6 linked regions of the Xenopus tropicalis genome follow. The protein of the gene in region 2 purifies or fractionates together with the protein of the main gene of each other region. This does not show direct contact. Links are inferred from orthologs where the notes say so. Each region holds a gene or a part of one and is shown on either strand. Other genes may lie near its edges.

What was found.
Region 1: the proteins of arrb2 (region 2) and nolc1 purify together in Homo sapiens (affinity purification with mass spectrometry; 5 studies listed by BioGRID and IntAct, counting the BioPlex papers as one, with this or other methods). This does not show direct contact. The link is inferred for Xenopus tropicalis from reciprocal best matches to the Homo sapiens genes ARRB2 and NOLC1.
Region 3: the proteins of arrb2 (region 2) and src purify together in Homo sapiens (affinity purification with western blotting; 4 studies listed by BioGRID and IntAct, with this or other methods). This does not show direct contact. The link is inferred for Xenopus tropicalis from reciprocal best matches to the Homo sapiens genes ARRB2 and SRC.
Region 4: the proteins of arrb2 (region 2) and akt1 purify together in Homo sapiens (affinity purification with western blotting; 4 studies listed by BioGRID and IntAct, with this or other methods). This does not show direct contact. The link is inferred for Xenopus tropicalis from reciprocal best matches to the Homo sapiens genes ARRB2 and AKT1.
Region 5: the proteins of arrb2 (region 2) and igf1r purify together in Homo sapiens (affinity purification with western blotting; 4 studies listed by BioGRID). This does not show direct contact. The link is inferred for Xenopus tropicalis from reciprocal best matches to the Homo sapiens genes ARRB2 and IGF1R.
Region 6: the proteins of arrb2 (region 2) and mapk1 purify together in Homo sapiens (affinity purification with western blotting; 3 studies listed by BioGRID and IntAct, with this or other methods). This does not show direct contact. The link is inferred for Xenopus tropicalis from reciprocal best matches to the Homo sapiens genes ARRB2 and MAPK1.

The regions. Positions count from the first base shown.
Region 1 is NC_030683.2:44,081,966-44,085,465, reverse strand, and holds part of nolc1 (nucleolar and coiled-body phosphoprotein 1), read left to right. Parts: intron 1-751; coding exon of another isoform or gene 752-937; intron 938-1,161; coding exon of another isoform or gene 1,162-1,326; intron 1,327-1,858; coding exon 1,859-1,999; intron 2,000-2,377; coding exon 2,378-3,109; intron 3,110-3,500. UniProt on the Homo sapiens protein: Nucleolar protein that acts as a regulator of RNA polymerase I by connecting RNA polymerase I with enzymes responsible for ribosomal processing and modification.
Region 2 is NC_030679.2:142,403,762-142,407,261, forward strand, and holds part of arrb2 (beta-arrestin-2), read right to left. Parts: intron 3,323-3,500; coding exon 3,262-3,322; intron 3,114-3,261; coding exon 3,069-3,113; intron 1,660-3,068; coding exon 1,463-1,659; intron 952-1,462; coding exon 892-951; intron 810-891; coding exon 742-809; intron 1-741. UniProt on the Homo sapiens protein: Functions in regulating agonist-mediated G-protein coupled receptor (GPCR) signaling by mediating both receptor desensitization and resensitization processes.
Region 3 is NC_030686.2:39,477,140-39,481,128, forward strand, and holds the start of src (proto-oncogene tyrosine-protein kinase Src), read right to left. Parts: upstream 2,801-3,989; 5' UTR 2,639-2,800; intron 2,508-2,638; exon of another isoform or gene 2,432-2,507; coding exon of another isoform or gene 2,423-2,431; intron 1-2,422. UniProt on the Homo sapiens protein: Non-receptor protein tyrosine kinase which is activated following engagement of many different classes of cellular receptors including immune response receptors, integrins and other adhesion receptors, receptor protein tyrosine kinases, G protein-coupled receptors as well as cytokine receptors.
Region 4 is NC_030684.2:99,749,721-99,753,920, forward strand, and holds the start of akt1 (RAC-alpha serine/threonine-protein kinase), read right to left. Parts: upstream 2,801-4,200; 5' UTR 2,715-2,800; intron 2,461-2,714; exon of another isoform or gene 2,371-2,460; intron 2,231-2,370; exon of another isoform or gene 2,078-2,230; intron 2,040-2,077; exon of another isoform or gene 1,813-2,039; intron 1-1,812. UniProt on the Homo sapiens protein: AKT1 is one of 3 closely related serine/threonine-protein kinases (AKT1, AKT2 and AKT3) called the AKT kinase, and which regulate many processes including metabolism, proliferation, cell survival, growth and angiogenesis.
Region 5 is NC_030679.2:114,970,460-114,974,609, forward strand, and holds the start of igf1r (insulin-like growth factor 1 receptor), read right to left. Parts: upstream 2,801-4,150; 5' UTR 1,432-2,800; coding exon 1,341-1,431; intron 1-1,340. UniProt on the Homo sapiens protein: Receptor tyrosine kinase which mediates actions of insulin-like growth factor 1 (IGF1). Binds IGF1 with high affinity and IGF2 and insulin (INS) with a lower affinity. The activated IGF1R is involved in cell growth and survival control.
Region 6 is NC_030677.2:154,011,314-154,015,373, reverse strand, and holds the start of mapk1 (mitogen-activated protein kinase 1), read right to left. Parts: upstream 2,801-4,060; 5' UTR 2,740-2,800; coding exon 2,612-2,739; intron 1-2,611. UniProt on the Homo sapiens protein: Serine/threonine kinase which acts as an essential component of the MAP kinase signal transduction pathway. MAPK1/ERK2 and MAPK3/ERK1 are the 2 MAPKs which play an important role in the MAPK/ERK cascade.

The sequences.
Region 1 (3,500 bases), on a different chromosome or scaffold from region 2:
AATTCTTGAAGAGGGTTGGTGGCAAGAGGGACGTATTCTTCTTGGTGGGATCTATAGGAGGATTTTCAGGGCCAAAAATAAAATGTGAGAAACGTTAAGAAATGCAAAAAAACAAATGGGACTTGTCCGTGCTCTAGTTATGTTAAGTATTAAGTAAAAAAACAAAAAAGTTACTTTCAGTTGCATGAAAATCTAGTCACATCTTACTTAATGCAGCTTAAATCACCAGTGTGTCAACTATGTTGTGTCAACAACTATGTACTTCTTCAAACCTAGAGCATGGAAGCCAGAAAAACTGTTTGCTTTAGATAATGGTGGCTACACCTAGCACTTTTTTAAAACCGTATCTTTTGTAAATATGTTATCTATTATTGAGAGACCCTGAAATAATGCAGTTCCATCTCCCATACAAAAATCCTTATTTTTAAATGCTAAAATTGTTAATTTTGTGTAAATAATTTAGTAAGATACAGGGCAAGCTCAGTAATGCACTAAGGCATTATGCCTGACCCTTAATATTTCTGCATCAATATTGTAGTAAACTGGTGTAAATGCGAAGGCCCAGTTGCAAAAATAATGATTAAGGCAATTACAGCTATATTGCAAGTATTCTCTAAAGGTGAACTTCCCTTTTAATCTTTCTTGAATATTTAATGCATAAATTAGGTCCCAAATCTGACTTCTATCACATGTAGTTCTTTTAAACGTTGTTTGCTTCATTGTTTGACATGTTATCTTCCACACGATGTAGACTCTAGCAGTGATGAAGAGACTACACCTAAACCTTCCACAAAAATTACTCCTGCAAAGAGTGCTGCTACACCAACTTCCAAAACACCCACAACTAGCAAAGCAACACCAACATCAAAGACCTTGCCTGCAAAACAAGGAACCCCCAAAACTTCCAAAAAGGATTCAAGCTCCTCAGACAGCAGTGGTAAGTGGAAAAACAGGTATATAATAGAAGCTTGCATACTTTATAGAATGAAAACAGGGGAGTTAAAAGGAAACCTTTCAAATTGTAGTCATGCTGGGGTTTATTTAATAAAACCTTAAGGCCAAGCTTTGTGTGGTAGGTGGCATATAGGAGGTATTTTGTCAGCATTGTACCAAATGTACAGTAACAGGCATGCTAAACTTTAACTATGTAATTAACTTAAGACTCAAGCAGTGATGAAGATGAGAAGAAAACCCCTGCCAAACCTGCTGCTAAAACCACTCCTGCCAAGCCTGCTGCTAAAACCACTCCTGCCAAGCCTGCTGCTAAAACCACCCCAGGCAAGAAAGCTCCAACTAAGAAAGAATCCAGTTCTTCAGATAGCTCAGGTATCTGCACTCTCAGTTAAAATTGAGAATGTTTAAATTATATAGGTTCTGAAATGGTTATTTTTACAGTTAAGGAGCCCAGTGTTCCTGACCTCTTATTAGTATTTTTATATAACAGGGATATTTTATTCAGAATAAAGCATTCTGTTATGACATGTTTAGTAAAGCAGCCAGTGTTTCATAGACCTTCCAGCTGTTGAGGAGTTAAATTTGAGTAGTTAATCAAGATAATTCATCTGCATAAACTACTCTGTATAACTGCCTTATTCTTTCCATATAGTTCAGTATTGCCTGCTTGGAACTTAGCATTTTTGAGAATGACCATGAAATATGTATCCATAACTATTTTAAGGCAATTTTTTAAGGATGGTAACCCATCAGTTGTGTTTGCGATTTACAGTAGTCTTTAAAAAGACACACGTCTGGAATGATTGGTATTTGCAATCTTACTATGTCCTAATAGATTTCTTTAACTTTGCTGCAGTGACCATTTTAGCCTGATCTTACCCTTATGGGATCTTATTTTGTGTAGATTCCAGCAGTGAAGATGAAAAGAAATCCTCTGCAAAGCCAGGAGTTAAGACTACACATGGGAAAGCTGCTTCCAAGACAGATGCTTCTGCTGCTGCAAAGTCTGTTCCTGCAAAGAAGGCTTCCAGCTCTTCAGACTCTGGTATGGCTTGGTTTTGTCTGAGTGGGTTGTTTGCAGTGGGAATGTATAAGTCCAAGTGTGCTCTATAGGCAGATGTATAAGTCCAAGTGTGCTCTATAGGCAGTGGGAATATATAAGTCCAAGTGTGCTCTATAGGCAGATTATAGGTAAGGTTCTTAAAGGAAAATTAATTCTAAGTAATACAGGTATCTGTTATTCAGAGCCAAAATAGTGGTATGTTGTTTAAATAAACGATTCTTATTTAATAATTTGCTTTTCATTTAAGTAAAACAATCTTGCACTCGTATACATGTACTATGCTAGGAATTATTTACCTTGTTTTGTGCAGCAGCAGCATCTGTTTATCAGTTTAACATGTTGTTCTATAATGTCTTTTAGACTCTGATAGCTCAGAAGAGGAGACCACGAAAACTACTAAGCCACTTAATAAGCCGTCCCCAGCAGTAAAGTCTCTGCCTTCCAAGAAAGCAGAAAGCAGCTCTGACAGCAGTTCCAGTGATTCAGATTCTAAGAAGAAAACAAAACCCGCAAAGCCACCAGCCAAAGCTACAACACCAGTTACCCCCAAGGTCCAAGTTCAAAACAAAAAACCTTCTAAGGCTAACAGCACTGATTCAAGCAGCGAAGAGGAGGGGAAAAGCAAGCAAACTACTGGGAAATCCCCAGCTGCTAAGGCTACTGTTCCTCCAAAGAAGAGCCCAGTGGCTGTTAATAAGGCAAAGGCCAGCAGCAGCTCCTCATCAGACAGTTCCAGCGATGACGAAAAACAAAAACCTAAACAACCACCAGCAGCAAAGGATGTGAAGCAAGGAGCAAAGGCCACAAAGCCAGCTCCAAAGAAAGCTGCAGATAGCAGTTCTGAAGACAGTAGCTCAGAAGATGATGACTTAAAGGCTACAAAAACAAATACTGCTATTTCTAAATCCCCAGTTACTCCCAAAGCAAAACCTGCTCCTAAAAAAGAAAGCAGCAGTGAGAGTTCTGATTCTGAAGATGAAAAGCAAAAAGGAAAGAATATCTCTACTCCCAAAACAGCAAATTCCACTCCTAAAGCAGCTGCTGAGAGTTCTGAGGAAAGTTCTTCCAGTGAGGATGAAGAAAAAGCTAACGGTATGGTTTATATTTTGCAGCATTAAATTCTTTAGAAATTGTGTTCATTTGCACATGCAGTTGTTCTTTGCCAAATGGAGAAGTTCCATCTGAAATGCTGTCAGGGGAACACTGGAGACATGTCCAAAGTAACACCAGTTATCACTTATAAAAGGTTCACCGATATGACAGGTTATCAAATATACTGGCTCTCGACAGGAGTATGGTATGTGTCAGTTCAGCACATCAGCTGATCCCTTACTAAACTGATAGGGTTCACTGCCACCCACCCATATCTGGTGCTGCTAGGTAGCTCCTAACCCAGAACATGAGATAGGGCTGCACTGGGTGACCCTAGCCTAACGTAAAAGGAAACCTTGGGGATATTTGCCAAATACATTCCATTTGTCAT
Region 2 (3,500 bases):
AAGGGACCAGCTACAATCGGCCCGTGTCACGGTGTGACCCACTAGTTTGGCCAAACGAGCAGATTGTGTCCCGATAGGCCCACCTATGGTGGGAGAGATCAGGCTAATTGGACCTTAATGACCCTAGGTCCAAACGGTCAAATTCAAACTGCTTTAAAGTCTTTAAAGGGGTGGGTTAACTTTTAGTATGTTATAGAATGCAATACAATTCTAAGCATACAAGAATTCTAAGAATACAATTCTAAGCAACTTTTTAATTGGTCTTCATTATTTATTCCTTATAGTTGTTGAATTATTTGCCTTCTTCTTCAAACCCTTTGCCGCGTTCAAATGGGGGTCACTGACCCCGGCAGCCAAAAACTATTGCTCTGTGAGGCTCCAGTTTTATTGTTACTTTATTTAACTTTCCATTCTGTCCCTCTCCTAATCATATACCGGCCTCTTATTCAAACCGCTCCCTGGTTGCTAAATTTGAACCCTAGCAACCAGATAGCTGTTATAACTCCAAACTGCAGAGCTACTGAACAATTTTTGAAATAATTAAAAAACAACAAATAAAAAATGAAGACCAATTGCAAGTTGTCTCAGAATATCACTCTCTACATCGTACTAAAACGTTAACGCGACCCCTTTAAAGGAACACTGCCATCAAAATGAAAAGTATACGTATACCCAAAGTGGGTAGCTAATTTCCTAGGCATCATGTGACTGGCAGGAAACAGCAATGTGCATGAAACTAACCTTTTGTGCATCTTTTCTTCCATGGTCTTGGCACAGAAGGCACGAATTTCGTAGTCCACGCCGCAAGCCTGATGGGTAAAAGAAGGGGTTAAAGTTGCACTGTGCAGTATATAGGTGCCTACTAATGGGAGTATGCCAGGGAATGCCCACCTTCCCAGTGTCCTCGGGTCCTGGCTGCAGAGTGACGGAACATGGCAGATTTTGCGGAATCTAATAAGAAGAAAACGAGAGACTGTTAAAGGGGTTGTTCACCATTGAGTTAAGTATGATGCAGAGAGTCATATTCTGAGACAAATTGCAATTGGTCTTCATTTTTTATTATCTGTAGTTTTTTAATTATTTCAATAAATTGTTCAGCGGCTCCCTGGTTGCTAAGGTTCAAATTACCTTAGCAACCAGGGAGCAGCTTGAATGAGAGACTGATATATGACTAGGGGAGGAACTGTATAGAAAAAAAGGTTATAAAAAGTAACAATAACAATAAAACTGGAGACTCACAGAGGAATTGTTTTTTGGCTGCCGGGGTCAGTGACCCCCATTTGAAAATGGCAAAGGGTTCAAAACCATAAGAAATAAATAATGAAGACCAATTGAAAAACTGCTTAGGAAGATTGATTAAAACTAAAGGGGAAATAAAGGGGGGGGATTATAAGGCACCATAGGGCTGGGTGGAAGGATAAAGATACAGGAGGAGTGTTGGGGGGGGGGGAGGAACACTGACGGTAAAGAAGAACGGGTGTGCTTGTTCCCCCAGCTTCTTGATCAGCCGCTCCTGCAGGCGAGTGAGGGGTTTCTTTTCCTCTGGGAGGGGCGGGTAGGCTTGGAACTTGGAAATGAAGAGATCCTTTCGAAAGGACAAGCCCAGGACGTCCAGGTCTTCCCGGCCATATCGGAAAGCACAGGTCAGCGTGACGTAGACTGAAGTGGGCAGAGAGAGAGTGGTGAGGGGAGGGGCATAGGGGACACCGGTTGGAGGGTAAGGGCGGGCAGAATGGTAAGAGGGGTAAGTTTAAGGCTACACGTTTAAAGGGCCACTATACCCTACAGCTGTCCTGCATTATTGAGCTCATATGGTATATGGTATCTCCCTGTACAGACTTATGAGAAGCTAAAAACTACAGGCAGAAGCCAGAGGGGAAAAGTATACATGCCTTTTAAAGGAGAACTAAACCCTAAAAATGAATATAGCTAGAAATGCAATAGCTTACATACTAAACTTACTGCCCCAGCCTGAAGGATCAGCATCTCTATAGTAGTAATGATCCAGGCCTTTCAAGTTGCCGCAGAAGATCCCCATCTTGGACTGTCGCAAATTATCTATTATCTTTTTACTGAATGATATGAGCGGCTCCTACATGAACTTTCCAGCAGGGGAATGACTGGTTATTATAGAGTCACATCGGCTGTTTGTATTGGGATCTATTTACTGAATGATATGAGCGGCTCCTACATGAACTTTCCAGCAGGGGAATGACTGGTTATTATAGAGTCACATCGGCTGTTTGTATTGGGATCTATTTACTGACTGATATGAGCGGCTCCTACATGAACTTTCCAGCAGGGGAATGACTGGTTATTATAGAGTCACATCGGCTGTTTGTATTGGGATCTATTTACTGAATGATATGAGCGGCTCCTACATGAACTTTCCAGCAGGGGAATGACTGGTTATTATAGAGTCACATCGGCTGTTTGTATTGGGATCTATTTACTGAATGATATGAGCGGCTCCTACATGAACTTTCCAGCAGGGGAAGGACTGGTTATTGGGCCCCACAGCAACATCATTGAGCCCCTATGCTTACGCAATTTACGTAACTTTTGCAAACACTTGCATTACTTTCAAAGAAACTTGCGTAACTTACCACTTTATTTTTTACTATTTTTATGAACTACTACGGACTAGTTATTGGGGCCCTAAATCGTATGCAAAGATTAAACTTAGGGCAAACTCCACTGACTGTGGAGCAACATCAGCTGTTTATGCACAAACAAGGGGCGTGGCCAACATTTTGGTACTGTCCAAAATTTGTTTTACTTGTGTTCATGGGGGGGGGGGGGGGCCATATAAATAACCTTTGCGGGGCCCCAAAGTTTCTGATGGTGTCCCTGATTGTATTTATACTGTATATTGTGAGTCGGTCCCTAAGCTCAGGTAAGTGACAGCAGCCTAAGGAGCTTCTTTAGTTACGTTTTAGTTCTCCTTTAATATTCCCACAAAAAAAAAAAGATAAAATATTGATGATATAGCAGCCCTTTAAAACATAGGGGTCATAATGAAAATACAGAAGGTAGGGGGGGAGGTTGGCAATGGCTATGGGACTTACCTTTCCGATCTTTCAGATAATCTGTATCCACAAGTACGACGCCATCTTGAAAAGAAAAAAAAATAAAATAAAAACATTGATGCGCAGCAGGAATGTGGAACCAACTACTGTAGAAGTGGCAGGGAATTACAGTTGAACAGGCCTCTCTGTATCAGTCTATGGCCTCGGCAATATATGTTTAAATCCCCCTTACCCACAGGATCCACCCGATCCAGATGGTCGACAAAATCCCTTTTCCCAAGGTACACAGTGAGCTGGAAAAGATCAAGGTTACAGTCATTAGTATGAATAGCCAGTCATTATATCCCCCCCCCCCCAGTAGGCTAGTCTAAGGGCCCTTAGCATTACCACGGAGCCCAGCTGTTTCTTGTACACAGTAGTACCACGAGGTACCACGCAGCTAATCCGCTCCAGATCCAGAGGTTCCATATC
Region 3 (3,989 bases), on a different chromosome or scaffold from region 2:
GGATTGAGGCACGTGTGAAGGTGAGCTGGGATTTAGCTGGCTCTAAGGCAACTGTAGCCTCCACCTAGTACAAAACTACAACTCCCATCACCCTCGGGAGTTGTAGCTTTGCACTAGAGGGAGGCCAGAGCATAAATTTTTGGTTGAAAAGACCTGCTGATTTTATCTAAAGGTTATTTGCTAAGATACATTCATGTGTCAGTATATTTGATAAGCCGATGATAACAAAGCCTGGCACACGTTGCCCTTTACCCAGCCTAGCTACATAGGCCCTTCCCAACAACCTAGCATACATACCCCTGTATCAGAAGCCTTTCACTTGTACCAACAGTCTGGTACATATAGCCCTTTACATACAGTGTAGCAAATATACCTCTTTGACTACAGCCTGGCACATGTATCATTGTACTCAGAGCTTGAGAACTCACATACATATACCTACAGCCTGGCACATATACCACTGTACCCACTGCTTGGCACTTATGTACCTATACCTATAGCCTGGCACATATACCACTGTACCCGCTGCTTGGCACTTATGTACCTATACCTTCAGCCTGGCACATATACCACTGTACCCGCTGCTTGGCACTTATGTACCTATACCTTCAGCCTGGCACATATACCACTGTACCTGCTGCTTGGCCCTTATGTACCTATACCTACAGCCTGGCACATATACTACTGTACCCGCTGCTTGGCACTTATGTACCTATACCTTCAGCCTGGCACATATATCACTGTACCTGTTGCTTGGCCCTTATGTACCTATACCTACAGCCTGGCACATATACCACTGTACCCACTGCTTGGCACTTATGTACCTATACCTACAGCCTGGCACATATATCACTGTACCTGTTGCTTGGCCCTTATGTACCTATACCTACAGCCTGGCACATATACCACTGTACCCGCTGCTTGGCACTTATGTACCTATACCTACAGCCTGGTAAACAGCCCCTTCCTTTATCTAAAGCCTGGCACATATACCACTGTACCCACTGCTTGGCACTCATGTACCTATACCTACAGCTAGGGATGCACTGAATTGAATCAGAACACTAAAAATCATGTGCCTTTTTGTCATATAAACACAGAAGTTGAAATTTTTTCAGCGCAACCTGCGCACGAGGCTCGCTTTAACCCTTCCCTATCCTAATTTACATATGCTTGGTATTTGGCCGAATCCTTTACGAAGGACACTGAGTTTGACGGAATCTGAAAATAGTGGGTTTGGTGCATCCTACGTATAACCTAGCACCCTTAGCCCTTTACCTACAACCTGGCACTAACAAGGCGACATTGGAAAGTTATGATCATGGCCCTAAAGCCTCCTGCTTTAAAAGCTGCACAGCAAATGGTTAAAAGGGGGAGGGATACCCATTTGCTTGAGTACATTCATAAACATTTACCCTTGCCATTTGCTAATTGTAGCAATCACATAGTTAAAAAAAAAAACAATGCTGCCAGCTCTGTATGACATTTAATACCAATCTAAATTTAGATATAAACTATAATAATTGTGCAACCCACTGCCATAGTAGCTGTTTGACCATTGTGTGTGTTTATATGCAGAATTGTTCCACATACATACACAGGTACATAGCATAGTTTTGCTCCCCAGAACTACCCATACCTATAGAGCTGGGTTGAATTTTAACTCTCAACTTCAACCAGTAGCAGGATGGCCTTTGGTTTATTATAGAGAGGACTCACAAGTGTACAATCTATGATAACCCACCATGCACGCCTTGTACCCTTCACCACTCCTCCATGCATGCCCTGTACTCTCCAGCCATCCTTTACTCCCTGTACCATTTACCCACACACACCCTGTACCCTCCTGCATTCCCCCATACATGCCCTGTACCCTCCTGCATTCCCCCATACATGCCCTGTACCCTCCTGCATTCCCCCCATACATGCCCTGTATACTATAGCATTCCCCCCATACATGCCCTGTATACTATAGCATTCCCCCCATACATGCCCTGTATACTATAGCATTCCCCCCATACATGCCCTGTATACTATAGCATTCCCCCCATACATGCCCTGTATACTATAGCATTCCCCCCATACATGCCCTGTATACTATAGCATTCCCCCCATACATGCCCTGTATACTATAGCATTCCCCCCATACATGCCCTGTATACTATAGCATTCCCCCCATACATGCCCTGTATACTATAGCATTCCCCCATACATGCCCTGTATACTATAGAATTCCCCCCATCCATGCCCAGCACACCCAATATTGCTAACTAGCCCCTTCACTCCCCAATATTCTCTCAACTCCAGACTTGCCCAGTGACTCCCAGCATGCCCCCATCTCAAAATCATGTGTTAAATGTACGCTAGCTTATTGGCCCAGAAGTTTAACCCCTGATGTTCGCAGGAAACATGCTGCACTTACCCTGACCATTAAAGGGCCTGTGTGCACAACATATACACAGGCATACCCACCGAATACCGGGCCAGAGTGAGATTTAAAGGCCCATATGGTAGCAGTGCTCCAAATACCCCCAAAGGCGTTACATACACCATTCCCAAGCAGCCTATAGCGCCCCCATTCTCTGCACCCGTGGTACTATCCTACGCCCCCTAGCGGCACGGTGCAGCCACTACTTACCTTGTCCTGCCTGAGATATCGGGAGATTCCACTCTCCGGGAACCCCCCTCACACAGAGGGGGGCAAGAGCGCTCTTCTCGTACCCACTATCTCCCGGTGCCTCTCCCCACACATCAGATTCCTCCTGGGCCGGGAAGTTTGGGGATCTACTCAGCGTACGGTTCACGCCCGGCCGGCTCCAGCTCCCTCCTCCCCTCCGCCTGTGCTGCCCTCCCCCGGGTCCGCCTGTCCCTCCTCCCACTGAATCAGCCCTGGCCCAGCCTGTCACTCCCGTTGGGGGGTCTCTGTACTGCCCCAGTGACACCCAGCCTGCTCTCTCACCACAGTCCGGGGCGCTTATTAATTCGGCCTGTCCCTTTTTGTCTTTCCCCTTTGTCCTTCCCCTTTCATTTGCATTATTCCCCTCTCAGATCCCACCTCTAATCCCAACACTTCCCCCTCTCTCCTCCTCCCCTCCCAGAGCTAGCCTGGCTTCCCTTGTCTTCCTTTCTCTCATTCTTCCCTGGTGAGTCGCACCGACTGATTCACTCAACTAGAGGAATTACACAACCCTATACTTCTCCCCATACACCCAGCACCCACCCCTCTAGTACTTCTCCCCATACACCCAGCACCCACCCCTCTAGTACTTCTCCCCATACACCCAGCACCCACCCCTCTAGTACTTCTCCCCATACACCCAGCACCCACCCCTCTAGTACTTCTCCCCATACACCCAGCACCCACCCCTCTAGTACTTCTCCCCATACACCCAGCACCCACCCCTCTAGTACTTCTCCCCATACACCCAGCACCCACCCCTCTAGTACTTCTCCCCATACACCCAGCACCCACCCCTCTAGTACTTCTCCCCATACACCCAGCATTACATTAACATTTATTTATAAAGCGCCCACCCCTCTAGTACTTCTCCCCATACACCCAGCACCCACCTCTCTAGTACTTCTCCCCATACACCCAGCATTACATTAACATTTATTTATAAAGCGCCCACCCCTCTAGTACTTCTCCCCATACACCCAGCACCCACCCCTCTATTACTTCTCCCCATACACCCAGCACCCACCTCTCTAGTACTTCTCCCCATACACCCAGCACCCACCCCTCTAGTACTTCTCCCCATACACCCAGCACCCACCCCTCTAGTACTTCTCCCCATACACCCAGCACCCACCTCTCTAGTACTTCTCCCCATACACCCAGCACCCACCCCTCTAGTACTTCTTCCCATACACCCAGCACCCACCTCTCTAGTACTTCTCCCCATACACCCAGCACCCACCCCTCTAGTACTTCTCCCCATACACCCAGCACCCACCCCTCTAGTACTTCTCCCCATACACCCAGCACC
Region 4 (4,200 bases), on a different chromosome or scaffold from region 2:
CAAGTACTTGACACAAAAGTCATAACAAACCAATATTCTGCTTCCTACACTGAGGTTTTGCCACAGACTCTGTACAGGAGTTGAAATGCTGATTTAGTTATATTTTCAGATTTATTTTGTTTGTTTTCTGCATTTTCCAAGCACTGCCTACTGTTGCTTTCCCTACAATAATGCAGTGCAGTTGAACCTAAGATTATTTACGAATAGGCGTCAAACCTCAAGGATATATACTTGGGAGACATGTCATACAAAGTTTTTTTCTGAATTAATTTATCCTTATGCCCAACACTATCCTACAACAATATAGCATAAACATTTCTAATAAACTTCAAAAAACTATTTTTATATGTTCTTTAAATATATTTGTGATCTAACTTCTGTATATGTGCATGCTCAGAGAAATATACCTGAACCAAAGTGGAATACAATATAAAATCAAAGCCAAATACATATTATAGGTAGAATGAAAGGTTACACTATACAAATGCACAGATAAGTTTACAGTCAAACATTGGCTTTAGCATACAAGTTACCTACTGTATATTCTGCTTAGTTAAGAGTAAGGAGAGAAGGTATTACCTTTAAATGCAGGATGCTTATAAATAATGCAGGTCAGTTGCACCGGCTCCTATTTAGCCCAGCAGCATGATCATGTTTTTAGTTGCTTCCTGCATTCAAGAGAGTTTGGTCTCCCAAACCAGCATCAAATCAGCAGTTTGGTTTTTCATTCACTGATCACTAGAAGAACAATGAACTACAATTTTTTTTTATTTAATTTTTTTTATAAAAAATAGTAGCAAAAGTTAATCGGGGCCCAGTTTATTAACCTATACTCTTTTTTTTTTTTTTACATTGTTGCAATAGCAGACACTGAATAAAATCCAGATGACTGCACATAGAAAGGACATGTCATGAAATTTTTTGTTTTTGTTTTTTTTAATTTAGCGCACTACATAAAGGTGACACACAGCATTGGACTTGTGACACAACCAAACTGTTTTTTGATGCAAATAATCTAGTTGTTTCTTGATTTTACAGGATTTCTGTACCTGCAATACTAATCTAGCTAAACCATGAGCGAACATCTTATTACTTATTCAGCTGGAAATTAATGTGCGCATAAACCCCGAGAAACATTACTGGAAAATACATTGCCTAAGAAAAACATCACAATAACGACTGGGTTAATTGTTGTGCTAAGTTACTGTGGGGAACTTGCCAAATGCCAACCACATGCTTACTGCAACCTACTTTTAACTGAACACATATATATATATTTTTCAGGTAAACAAATTTCACAATACTGCTATATTCCTCGAAGTCTGGATAGCAACAGTAATCCACAGTACTTGATTGCTCAGGCCAGAGCGAGGAAGTGTCAAACTCAGCCAGCACACCCATACACATTAGAGCATGTACACAGGAAGTGGGCACGTTTGGTGGGGGGACACACAAAGAGCACATCAGTTTCAGCAAGTAACAGACTACATACATAACACAACAGTCTAGAAGTAAAACACTATCTTGTTCAGAGATGTAAGCAAAAGAAATGCTAGTGCAATAGGATAGCTTTTGTTACAGCCCAAGGGGGATATTACTAGATTTCACCAGGGTGTCCGACCTGTAGCATTGCTTGCTGTCAGTGAATTACAACTCCCAGCAGCCTATGACAGCCTTCCGCTGCGGTGGATGTCAGAGAGTTGCCATCTTATGACAGCCAGAGGGCCACATGTTGGACAACTGAGTATATAGACTGGATAAGAAGCAAATGCAGCACATTTCTACCATCTTTATATAAATATATATACATACATGTTTTCCTGCCATCTTTTTAAAAAGCAATGCTGCCAGCCCCCCTGCAGAGCAGCCATAGTTCCAGCCACAGCCCTTCCCTGGAAATTAACACTGTTTATGAACAAACATACACACATCTACACAACAGGAACATTATACACATCCTGGGTTGCACTGAAGGCGACAGCATTGCCCTGCAGGCAGTTTGTGTAGCAAGACTACTGGGATGTGATTGATTTTTGGCGCATTTGCATCAGCTGCAGTTTGCATGCTGCTCTCTTACCGCTACCCCTCCTGCAGAGCACTAAACAACGCCAGGCCCTGACAGGGCTGTAACACTGACCAACACCCCCATGCCTCTCAGGGTATTAGGTACTGTCCTGCTTTAACCCTGTCAGTGACATAAGGCCCCCCTGGTGCATTGCGCAATGATCGATAGGGGGAGGCTTTCTGACACCTAAAGGGTTAAAGGATTATACCAATAAATGGAAGAAGAAAAAAAAAAAAGGGCGTGGGTGCTGGCAGAGGGTGGAAGACAAAGGTTAGGAAATGGAAGTGCCGGGCGGTTTGACTTACATGGATGCAAGAGGTATTACTGAGCTGAGTCTGGAAGAGGAGGGCAGCCACCGAGTTGGGAGGGGGGCTTGGGGCCTAGCGGTGGATTACAGCCAGCTGAAGCCTCACCATCACCGAGGGGAGCAGGAGAGGGAAGGGAGAGGAAAGAAGGGAGGAGAGGAGAGCAGACACAGAGGGGGAGAGGGTGGGAGGAGGAGGTGGGGAAGGATAAGGCTGCTTTTGCTTGTAGTGTTGCTGCTGCTGCAGATTCAGCCCATTGATTGCATGGAGGGATGGGAGGAACCGGCTGCTGCTGATGGTTGGCAGGAGAGTAGTGCTGCTGCTGCTGCTGCTGCTGCTGTCACCTTGCTGCCACCCTGGGATGTGGGTACTGCTGCCGCTTGCAGGATAACTGCCTCGGCTCTGCAGTCTTCAGCCTCGGATCATTCTCCTGTGCATCAGCTGTGTGTGTGCCCGTCTCTGTCTCTTCCTCCCCTGCACACAGTGAGCAATGGCTCTTCCTCCCCTGCCCAAAGCGATCCTCCCTCCTGCCTTCTCTTCCTTTCTCCAGCCGCTGTCTATGGGTTTCCCTCTGTGCCTCTTACACCCTGCCTCCAGATGACCACCGGGTCCTACCGCCCGCAGGCTTCAAAGCTGCAGCTCAGCTAGGAAATCCATCAGAGCACAAAGGGAGGAGCCTGAGCGCTGCGTGAGTAGCCAGCAGCCAGGTGAGACTTAACCCGTGTGCTGCTCTCTCCGCCAGCAGTGTGGGCTTTAGCTACAACGCGCTTTCAACGGGGCCTCACTCTTCACTATTCTATGGAAGGGCATTGACTAAAGTCGCTACGTGTATGTATATTGACACAGAGCAACTTCTATTCTATAAGCAGGCAAATACACACGCAGTAATGCAGTGCAGGAAAATCAGCTAAAATTCTTTGTTAATGTACATATAACCACCCTAAGCTTTGTATTTAACTATTGGTATTTGGCTTTTGCAATATGTGAGGGAAGTTAATAAATATTTAGGAAAACTGCGAGGCCCTGTTATCTGTATGACATAGGACTCTCCCTGAGAGTGCTGGGAGTTGTACCTCAAAGCCACATTCTTGCCCTATTATAAATTCAATTCAATACTATTTATGCTGTGTTCCTGGGCCCACTATAACAGGGTTGCCCCAGTATGGTTTTTGTAGTAATATAGTAAATAATGTATCCCCTTTTGCAACTCTGGACTGGGAGTCAAAATAGGCCCTGGTATTTTAGGTGCATAGAGGCCCAAGCAGCCCCCACCACAAGCGCAATCATTTGTGACTGTCTATGGCGACATTTGCCAGAATCCAAAGATTTCCAACCTGGGCCTGCCCTATTGTTATTCAAAACAATATTAGAAGCCACACAGGAGTTTGTTTCCATATAAAAACATAAAACTGCATGCCAGGTGCTTTTATAAAAGACTCTTGCAAATAACAATGGATGATGCATTATCATTTTTTAAAGGAGACATACTGGATAAATGGGAAAAAAACCTAATTTTGTAGGCAATTCCAAATAATATATGGTGCTGGTTTCATGGCTGGATTTCAAAACTCACCGCCCCCAGGCTGTCCCCGGTCCCACGCCCCCCCCCCCCCCCCCAGCGGTAGTGTGCAGGCGCACGGGGGGTGCGCGCATGCGCAATCAGCGGGGACAAGCATGCGCCGTGGGCCAAAGTGCATACGGAGCAGTGGGGAGAAGTCCCCATTGCTCCGTATGGGAGCAGAAATTTTGAGATTATTGTGCGGCTGGGCGGCATGCCGCCCCCAGGTTTCTGCCGCCCTAGGCCCGGGCCTTTGTGGCCTCTCCACAAAT
Region 5 (4,150 bases), about 27 Mb from region 2:
AGCATGATGAAGTTTTCCCCATATATTTATCTATCTCTGCACATAGGTGCTTAATGTGTTACATATATGCTACCAGCCCCTGTATCATTATAGCCATTGCATGGTTTTGATAAGAATAATCTTGGGTGCATAGAAGTCATAACGACTGCAACTTTGTGTCAGTGGAGAGGTTGCTGGATGCAAGCATCATGGTGCATCAGTTGCCGACAACATAAAAAAACAGTAACTAAACTAGTGGGTAAAAGGTTAAACTGTCACATCCTTGAGGTGAAGTCTTATATACATGTTACTGCATCTCCCAAGCAATATCACTCAGTAGCACCAATACTTACAGTACAAACAGTGTGGACTAGAATGCAACTAGATGCATGAGAATCTCAAACTTCAGACCTGTCATAAAAATCTGAGACATAAGGGCAAGTCCACGGTCCTTCTCCACAGAAAGCCCAAACTACCCATACCGAAGCAGGGATGGGCCACTGCTGCCTGGCTACACAAGCCAGCATGACCTGAGATTTATAGGATGGCTACAATTCCAATGATGAGCTTACAAGTTATCAAAACAGTGGCTGCATTTACTGCAAACGAGCGACTGAAATCAGGGGAAGGGCAATAGTTATTCAACAGCTCCCATTGGAATGCTGGTATCTGTAGTCCAACAGAAGCAAGTTTGGAGATTTCTAGACTACAGCACCAAGCTGTATAATATTTAAAATGTGCTGCAGCAGCATTGGGAGAGATTGGTACCTGAAGCATGGAGATGGGAGCTATGCAGCGTGTGTGGTTATCCATTAGTGCAACGCACATGCAGTTATGAGACGAGAGTGTGCAGTCTGAGCAAGTCACTCGCATCCATACAATTCCCCACACAACAGATGAAGATGAGAGAGGAAAGAGAGACCCAATGCTGATGTACACTCAGATGCCAAAACATTTAGCAGGAAGGGGGCAATGATGTCCAACCTGCAGTTATTCGGCTGTTGTGGACTACAGCTCCCAGCATTCTCCCACACACACACACAAAAGGCTGCAGATTGGGCATCCCTGGTGCTGCACATTGGGAGCTTAGGGACACTGACAGCTCATATCTCTAATACTGGAATGATTGATGGCTCTCTGGGGCCCCTAAAGGCCAACACTGAGGGGAGCTGCGTACTAGTAATGGGGAAACAACAGCAGGTGGGATTCGGGCCAAAGAGTAGAGAAAGTGCGGCCCCAAATCTTTGCTCCCCACTGATGCGCACCACAGCAGCCATACGTGCAGCCTGACGCAGCGACACTTCCCACACTGCGTGGGAGCCCCATGTGCCCGGGGTACCGGGGGGCTACAGGACACTCACCTCTCCCAGCCGACGGTCCCAGGCACAGAAGGAGGAGGACGAGGACCCCCGGGATCCAGGCCGTACAAGCAGGCACCAATCCGGCCTTCATGTCCACAAACAAGTCCCCGCGTACAGCCCACTCAGGGAATCCGAGGAAATGCTCATGCACTCTGCCAGGAACTCCCCCCTGGCCCGGAATAACAAAAATGGCGCCGCCGGTCCTTTCTACCTGGACCACAAGCCCTGGAATTCCCGGGTCACCTTGCTCTGGAACCTGCTTGGATCGTGAAACGTGGATTATTGAGCGGACTGGCCAAGTTGTACTGGCAGAGCAGCGGCCGGCACCAACTCCAGGGGGAGCCCCTGAGCTCCACAGTTCCCCCCCTCCCCACTGCCCTGACTGATAGGCAGAGGGACAAGGGGGTTACTTGGGGTTCTCTGGCAGCTACGAAACAGGCGCCGCCCACTACGAGGAATTGGGCCCCGTTATCCAATGGGTTTCTTCGCTCTTGTTACTCTGCGTATCTCCCCTACTCCCCGGTGGCAGTATATCCCTGGCCTGAGGGGGCGCTATGAAATCCGCCTGATGCTGGGTAAATCCAAGGGTAAGTGTGCGGCTCCTCAGTCCCGCAGGGTAACGTGTATCTCCCCGGCGCACAGTGTGTCAGTCCCGCCGCTGGAACCGGCCGCACGGAGGAAGCTGATGGGAGAAACCCGAAGCCCGCACCTCGCCCTCCTCTCCCTCCATGTCAGCCCCGGGCACAATCCGCTATCCCACGGCAGGAGGCCGCTGCACACCCGCCGGACCAATGAATGGAGGAGAGTATCTCGGCCCGCCCGACTCGCCGCCGTCCGAGCGATTCTCTTCAGCCCTAGGATAAAGCCCGAGAGGCTTAAAGCTGCGTACGGGCTGCTCTCCCGCTGCTTGCCGTCCGTGTGTAGGGATCCCCGGGCCGCCGCCGCCACCGAGCCTCTCTCATTGGGATCTCCTCTCAGTGTGTGTGTGTGTGCGCGGCGCTAATGCTGTAAACAAGAGCCTGAGCCGCACACTCTCTCTCTCTCTCTCTCACACACGCACAGACTCACACACTGGGCTGTCTGCAAAGCCAGGACTGGGGAGCTACTCCCGCTGCACTGGACTCGCCCGGGAATCCAATACTGCGCTCAGGCATTGCCTCCCCACTCACCCATCTACTCACTCCTCATAGTCAGTACAGGCATCCCTTATCCCCACATACTAGCGCCAGGCAGCTTCCTAGTGCGTAATAACAACAACAACAACATACTACTTCTTCTGGGGGCATTTCTCATTTGTTCATATATATATTATATTATTTATACACCTAACATCCAAAAACATTGGTATATAATTATATGTGTTTATAGAGACAATAGGTAAGAGAGCATACATGATGGCCCTTATACTACCATGAAATTAAAATGTATAATTGGTGGGGTAAAATTAAAACAAATTACTAAACCTTATTTAGTTATTATTATTTATAATGTTCTATGAGTAATGATCCCATGGCCCATTGGTACTGATCTTGTGGTACCTGATGACACAGGCTTTGTTTACCCTCCATCAGGGCTCAGCAATAAGGGCTGCACTACTGTGTAGGTGCTTCCGTTTAGATAGCCCTTGTGCTGGCGACTTTACTGTTTGTCGTTTGAGGGGACAATAGCATGAAAATAAGATTTCAATAAGTGGCGTTCTGCCACATTTTAATCAATCAAAGCGGCTTTCATTCACCAACTGACCAAAAGGATGTCGGGTAAAAAATTAGAGGGATTCTGTCAAGGGAAAATATGTTTTTGGGGTTTTTTTTTCCAAAATGCATCAGTTAATAGAAATTCACCAGCAGAATCCTGCATTGAAATCCACTTTTCAAACATTTGTATATTTACTTTTGAAATTTCACATGGGGCTAGCCATATTCTTCATTTCCCAGGGTGCCACAGCCATGTGTCCTGTGATTTGATAAACTTCAGTCACACTTTACTGCTGAGCTGCAAGTTGGAGTGATATCACTTCCCTTCCAGCAGCGATCAGCAAAACAATTGGGAGGGAGCAAGATAGCAGCTCCCAGTAGGTATCAGAATAGCACTCAATAGTAAGAAATCCAAGTCCGGCTTGGGACTCCTCCAGTTACATAGGAGTAGGAGAAACAATAGGTTACCTGAAAGCAGTTCTAATGTGTAGCTCTGGCTCCTTCTGAATGTTCAGACTCAGGTGGCGCCTACACACCAGTATTACCAGTATTACAGCTAAAAAATATACATTTATTTGTTCAAAAATGCAATTTTAAATCGTAGAATGGATTATTTGCAATGTGAACAGTGTAATATAGTAATAAAACTATATCATAAGGGTGAAGACACACTGAGCTAGTAGTAGCAGCTACTTTTTCACAGCTACTAGACTCCTAACAATACTGAGAATTGCCTCTGCTAAAGCACACGTAGAGAAATTATCAGTAAATGATCAGCATTGTCTATTTTTGTAGCCACGTAAGTAGTTACTACTAGTAGCTCAGTGTGTCTTCATCCTAAAAGTCATGACAGAATCCCTTTAACTTTATCCATTTAAAAGCATCACGCCTGATGCGTTTCATGTGCACTTAATCATAGACACAATAAAAACCCAAGAAGGTACAAAGTTTAAATAAAAGTAAAATAATTACCTTGCAAGACCACATCGCAAGCGTTAATAAATTAACCCATTGTGTTTTGTATGAAAAAAAAAATGACAGGTGATTACAAAGGGATAAACATAGCTAATCATTACATACTACTGTGTAAGTGCTCTAAATAACTCTTGTGCTGGA
Region 6 (4,060 bases), on a different chromosome or scaffold from region 2:
GACAAGAGAGGCCCCTTGGCAAATAGCCTTATTTTTGTCACAGCCATCTTGGCAGATCTGCTGCTTTTCTGCATTACGGTATATGATTGTGTCTCTGCATTATAGAGTCCAATGGGCAGAGCCTATTAGGCTGTTATACCTATGTTTGGAATTGAAGTCAGTGAGCCAGAACAGAAGCAAATCTGCCATGATGGCACCATCAGCTTCCTTTTATTAAAAAATTCAGTAACTGGATAAATCTGGCAAAAAGCATATCAATAATATCTTACAATTAATGGTATGCATATAGCGGCCCATCAATTACAAGCCATAGCTATAAGTCATGGATACAAGTTGGTTAGTCAGAAAATTTTAGCGTAAAGCTGTTCTAATTCACTTCCCCGTGTGGATGTGGGTAGCCAATCCTATCTCTTCTCTTAACACAGGGAAAGGTAATATGCAGTTCCCAGTCAGGTCCACTGGACAAATAGCAAGATTCTAAAATAGGTCCAACAACTCACCACAGAGGAAGAGAGGCTCAAGTTTACCACCCTGTGCCTACAGCTAGGGGAGCGGATAACTGAAGACCACTAGACTGGGATTGGCTGGCACTCTACAATGCAAAGTGCTGAGTATTTCTGGCTCTCCTGCACAACCAGAGGAAGCAGCCAGCCAGAAGTGAACACCTGGGTCATGCTTGTAAGGTTTTTGGGAATACTTTAGCAGTGAGAAAGACAAATTTTAAAAGGTTCATTTCTTACATAGTGGAACAGCAAAAGTCTGTTCTTGACAATATGTGCACCCTTTAATAATTCATTGATCAACAACTATACAAGCAGTAACAATCAAGTAAAAGTGGTGTGCAACCCTATGTTAAGGTGGCTAGGCATGTAGAGATCCGCCCATTTGGTGAGGTCGCTGAACGAGCGGATCTTCCCCCGATTTGCCCACCTTAGGTGGGCAATATAGGGCTAATTCAATTATCAGGCCCTAAGGTCAAACCTGCCCACCTTGGCAGCTTAAATCTGCCAGTGTACCCCTTTAATCTCTTGTACTGCATGCCTGAAAATGTAAGATTTTAAACCTTGGAGATATTTGGGCCTGTTCAAGCTCCTAAAACATAATGAAACCTGATAATATTAATACAGCAAATTATATCTACAATAAAATTGATGTCACCCATGTACCAAGGACACACATTCTAATCTATATTTCTAGCTGGACTGAGGCACAGTGTCCTGCTTATGTCCAAACTGCATATCTCTGTGCATTTAGGCTCTGATATGAAAAACTGAATTAAAAGAATCACTGTGGAGGAGGGCTGGCACTTGTCACTTTAGAGTCGGCCAATGCCTTCCCACACAACACAATGGAACCATCATTTTAGCAGATTTATACTGAAAAGTGCTGTGATCTGAGGAGATTACGCAATGCCATTTAGAAAAACTGTTCCCACACGGAATGTAGGTTGGCCCTAGGTATAGCTAAACACTGGTTATTAAACTGAAAATGAGAAGTTAATATAAAAGTCACCTTTGGCTTGTGTCGCACAGGATATGGATGTCTATCTTGGTTTACAAAAAAAAAAAAAACAATACTCCCACTTTTACTGTACTTATAAAAAGTCCATAAAGTTACAATGAACACAGTTCTAAGTTTATAGACTAGCAGACCAATGAGACAGTAGTAAACTAAACTATGTGCTGTTTAGGGCTGTGAGCGCATTTGTCCTACACTCTGGTGCTACAGCATATATATGGGATGGGGATAATGTAAGAACCTGCACGACACTGGGAAAAAGGAAACAAACATAAATAACTGATAAAATACAACAATACTGATAAAATACAACAATATACAAATGTCAAATTGCCTTTTTAACCTTACTTCTTGAACTTAACTTTTGAGCATATTTCAAACAGGACTAACTGCAATGGTGCAAACCTCTAACTCATAACAAGTTATAAATACGCCCACAGCATTGTATCTTAAATATCTTGCACGCATACAGTATTAAATGCAAGTACAACATGGCCTCCATCTGTTCTCCAAGAACAATTCCCAAAGCCCTGGCTGTCAGTGGATGCAGGAGTAATTAGTTCATCAAGCCCTGATGGGTCAAACATTATACATTCCTATTTCATTAACTAAAACTGTAACAGGCTGTATGGGTGGGTTTAAGGGTACATTGCGGGGATGATTCTCTAATTCAGCTTTACAAAGGTTACCAACACAGCAAAGAAAGCCTGGAAGGCGCAATAATCCAACTACAGGGAAAGGAAGCACAAATCTGCATTTGGGGGAAAGCAATACCCTAATGTGCACCAGTGCTGCATGCAAAATGATTGCTGGCTATGACGGGATTGCTGGGTGCAGGTGCAACACAATTCCCAACACTAAATAATGGGAAAGAAATATTAGCGAACAAATGCCGAGTTGAAGCGGCAGAAAGGCCGGAGCTGGCAGCCGGGAGCCGAGAGCACGCAGTCCCTAGTGGAGCAGTGGCAGTGCGTGGGGAGGTGGCTGCACAAGCTGGAGAGGGCCGGGACAGATCCCAACACGCACAGGCCTGAAGAAGGAAAAGGCCATGACTAGGATTAGAAGGAGATCCGCCCGTACCCCATGCACTTACCAAACCATGCCGTACGCTCCCTCCCCGATATATGACAGGTTGGTATATCGCGGGCCTACGTCGAACGCCTGCCCTCGCACCATCTCCGGCCCCCCGCCGGGGTTAGACGAGGCCCCTGCCGCTGCCATGTTTTGCTTGATTTAATGCGTCGGGGAGAGTTTCTCCGGAGCTGCTGTGGGTATTACACGGCTCGGTCCGTCTGCGCCTCCGTGGGTGTGGCTGCCTCTCTGGTGGGGAGCGACAGAGCGGATGACGAGGCGGCGCCCCAGGCTCGCTGCACTGGCTCAGTCGTACGCTGTGTGAGGCGCTGCCGAGCTAACGCCTTCCCGCCCGCTGGGTGTGTGTGGGGCGGAACTACGGGCAGGGCCTTGGAAAGGCGCAACTCCCCTCACGCTTTGCTGCAGTGGGCGTGGACTCGTACGGCTCTGCTTTTTTTTTTTTTTTCTTTGCTAAACTCTCTGTTTTCACAGGGTGTGTTTGATTTACGGCTTCCCGGTTACTGATTTATTCCCGCTTTAGAAAATGATCGATTATACTGGAGGCTGCTGGGAAGTGTAGTCCGGCAGAAGCTAGAAAATAAAACTTCAATACGGATCCTGACAGCAGAATTAGAGGTCTTTTGACGTCTCTCGCCAAGCGCTTCCTGCCTAGACTGAACGCATCGATCGCAGTACGGCGGCTGTAGCGTCTTCTCTGGTGTTGATTGGACGCGTCTTTGCTGCCATGGGAAATGATCTGCAATATTTTTCAGTAATAGTTGCGTTCTTGTAATTGGTAATTACAGAATGTGGGGTTACGTTATTGTACATACTGTACAGCAAAACAGTATAAAACCCCATGGAAACAGTCCTGCTTCATACAATAAAATATTTTTTTTATCCTATTGGCCTGTAAGGAGCTGCCAATGTTACCTGGCGCCTGTGTATACTGAAACCGTTGTTTACATAGGTACATAGCATATTTCAGGAGTGCCCAGAGTTTACTGACATGGGATCTAGTACGTTTAGCAAAATTATCAGGGTCTTCCATGTCTAGCCATCTCTAGTTACCTTAAAAAACGCTCTTAGTTACAGAAAAACATTTTATAATCTAAAGCAGTGTCAGACTGGTCAACCAGGATATCAGGGAAACAAAGCTGTGAACTCTCCAAGTTTTCCCCAGTGTTACCTGATTCAGGAACTTGTACCCCATATCCTCCTGGAAACCTGTGGTAATCACCCATTTAAAAAAAAAATGTGCATGTGTAGTGAGCTTTCTGCTTGTACATGCAGATTAAGCACCCAGTAATGTCAGTGCATGCGCAGTGATGTCACTGGGAATCCACATTTGGCCACGCCACACAATGCGTGTGCCATAGAGTCCCCTGGCCATGCCAGTAGTAAGGCTGATGCCACACGAGGCGTTTTTGCGCTGCGTATTTTCTAATTTTCTCAGCGGCTGAAAAACGCC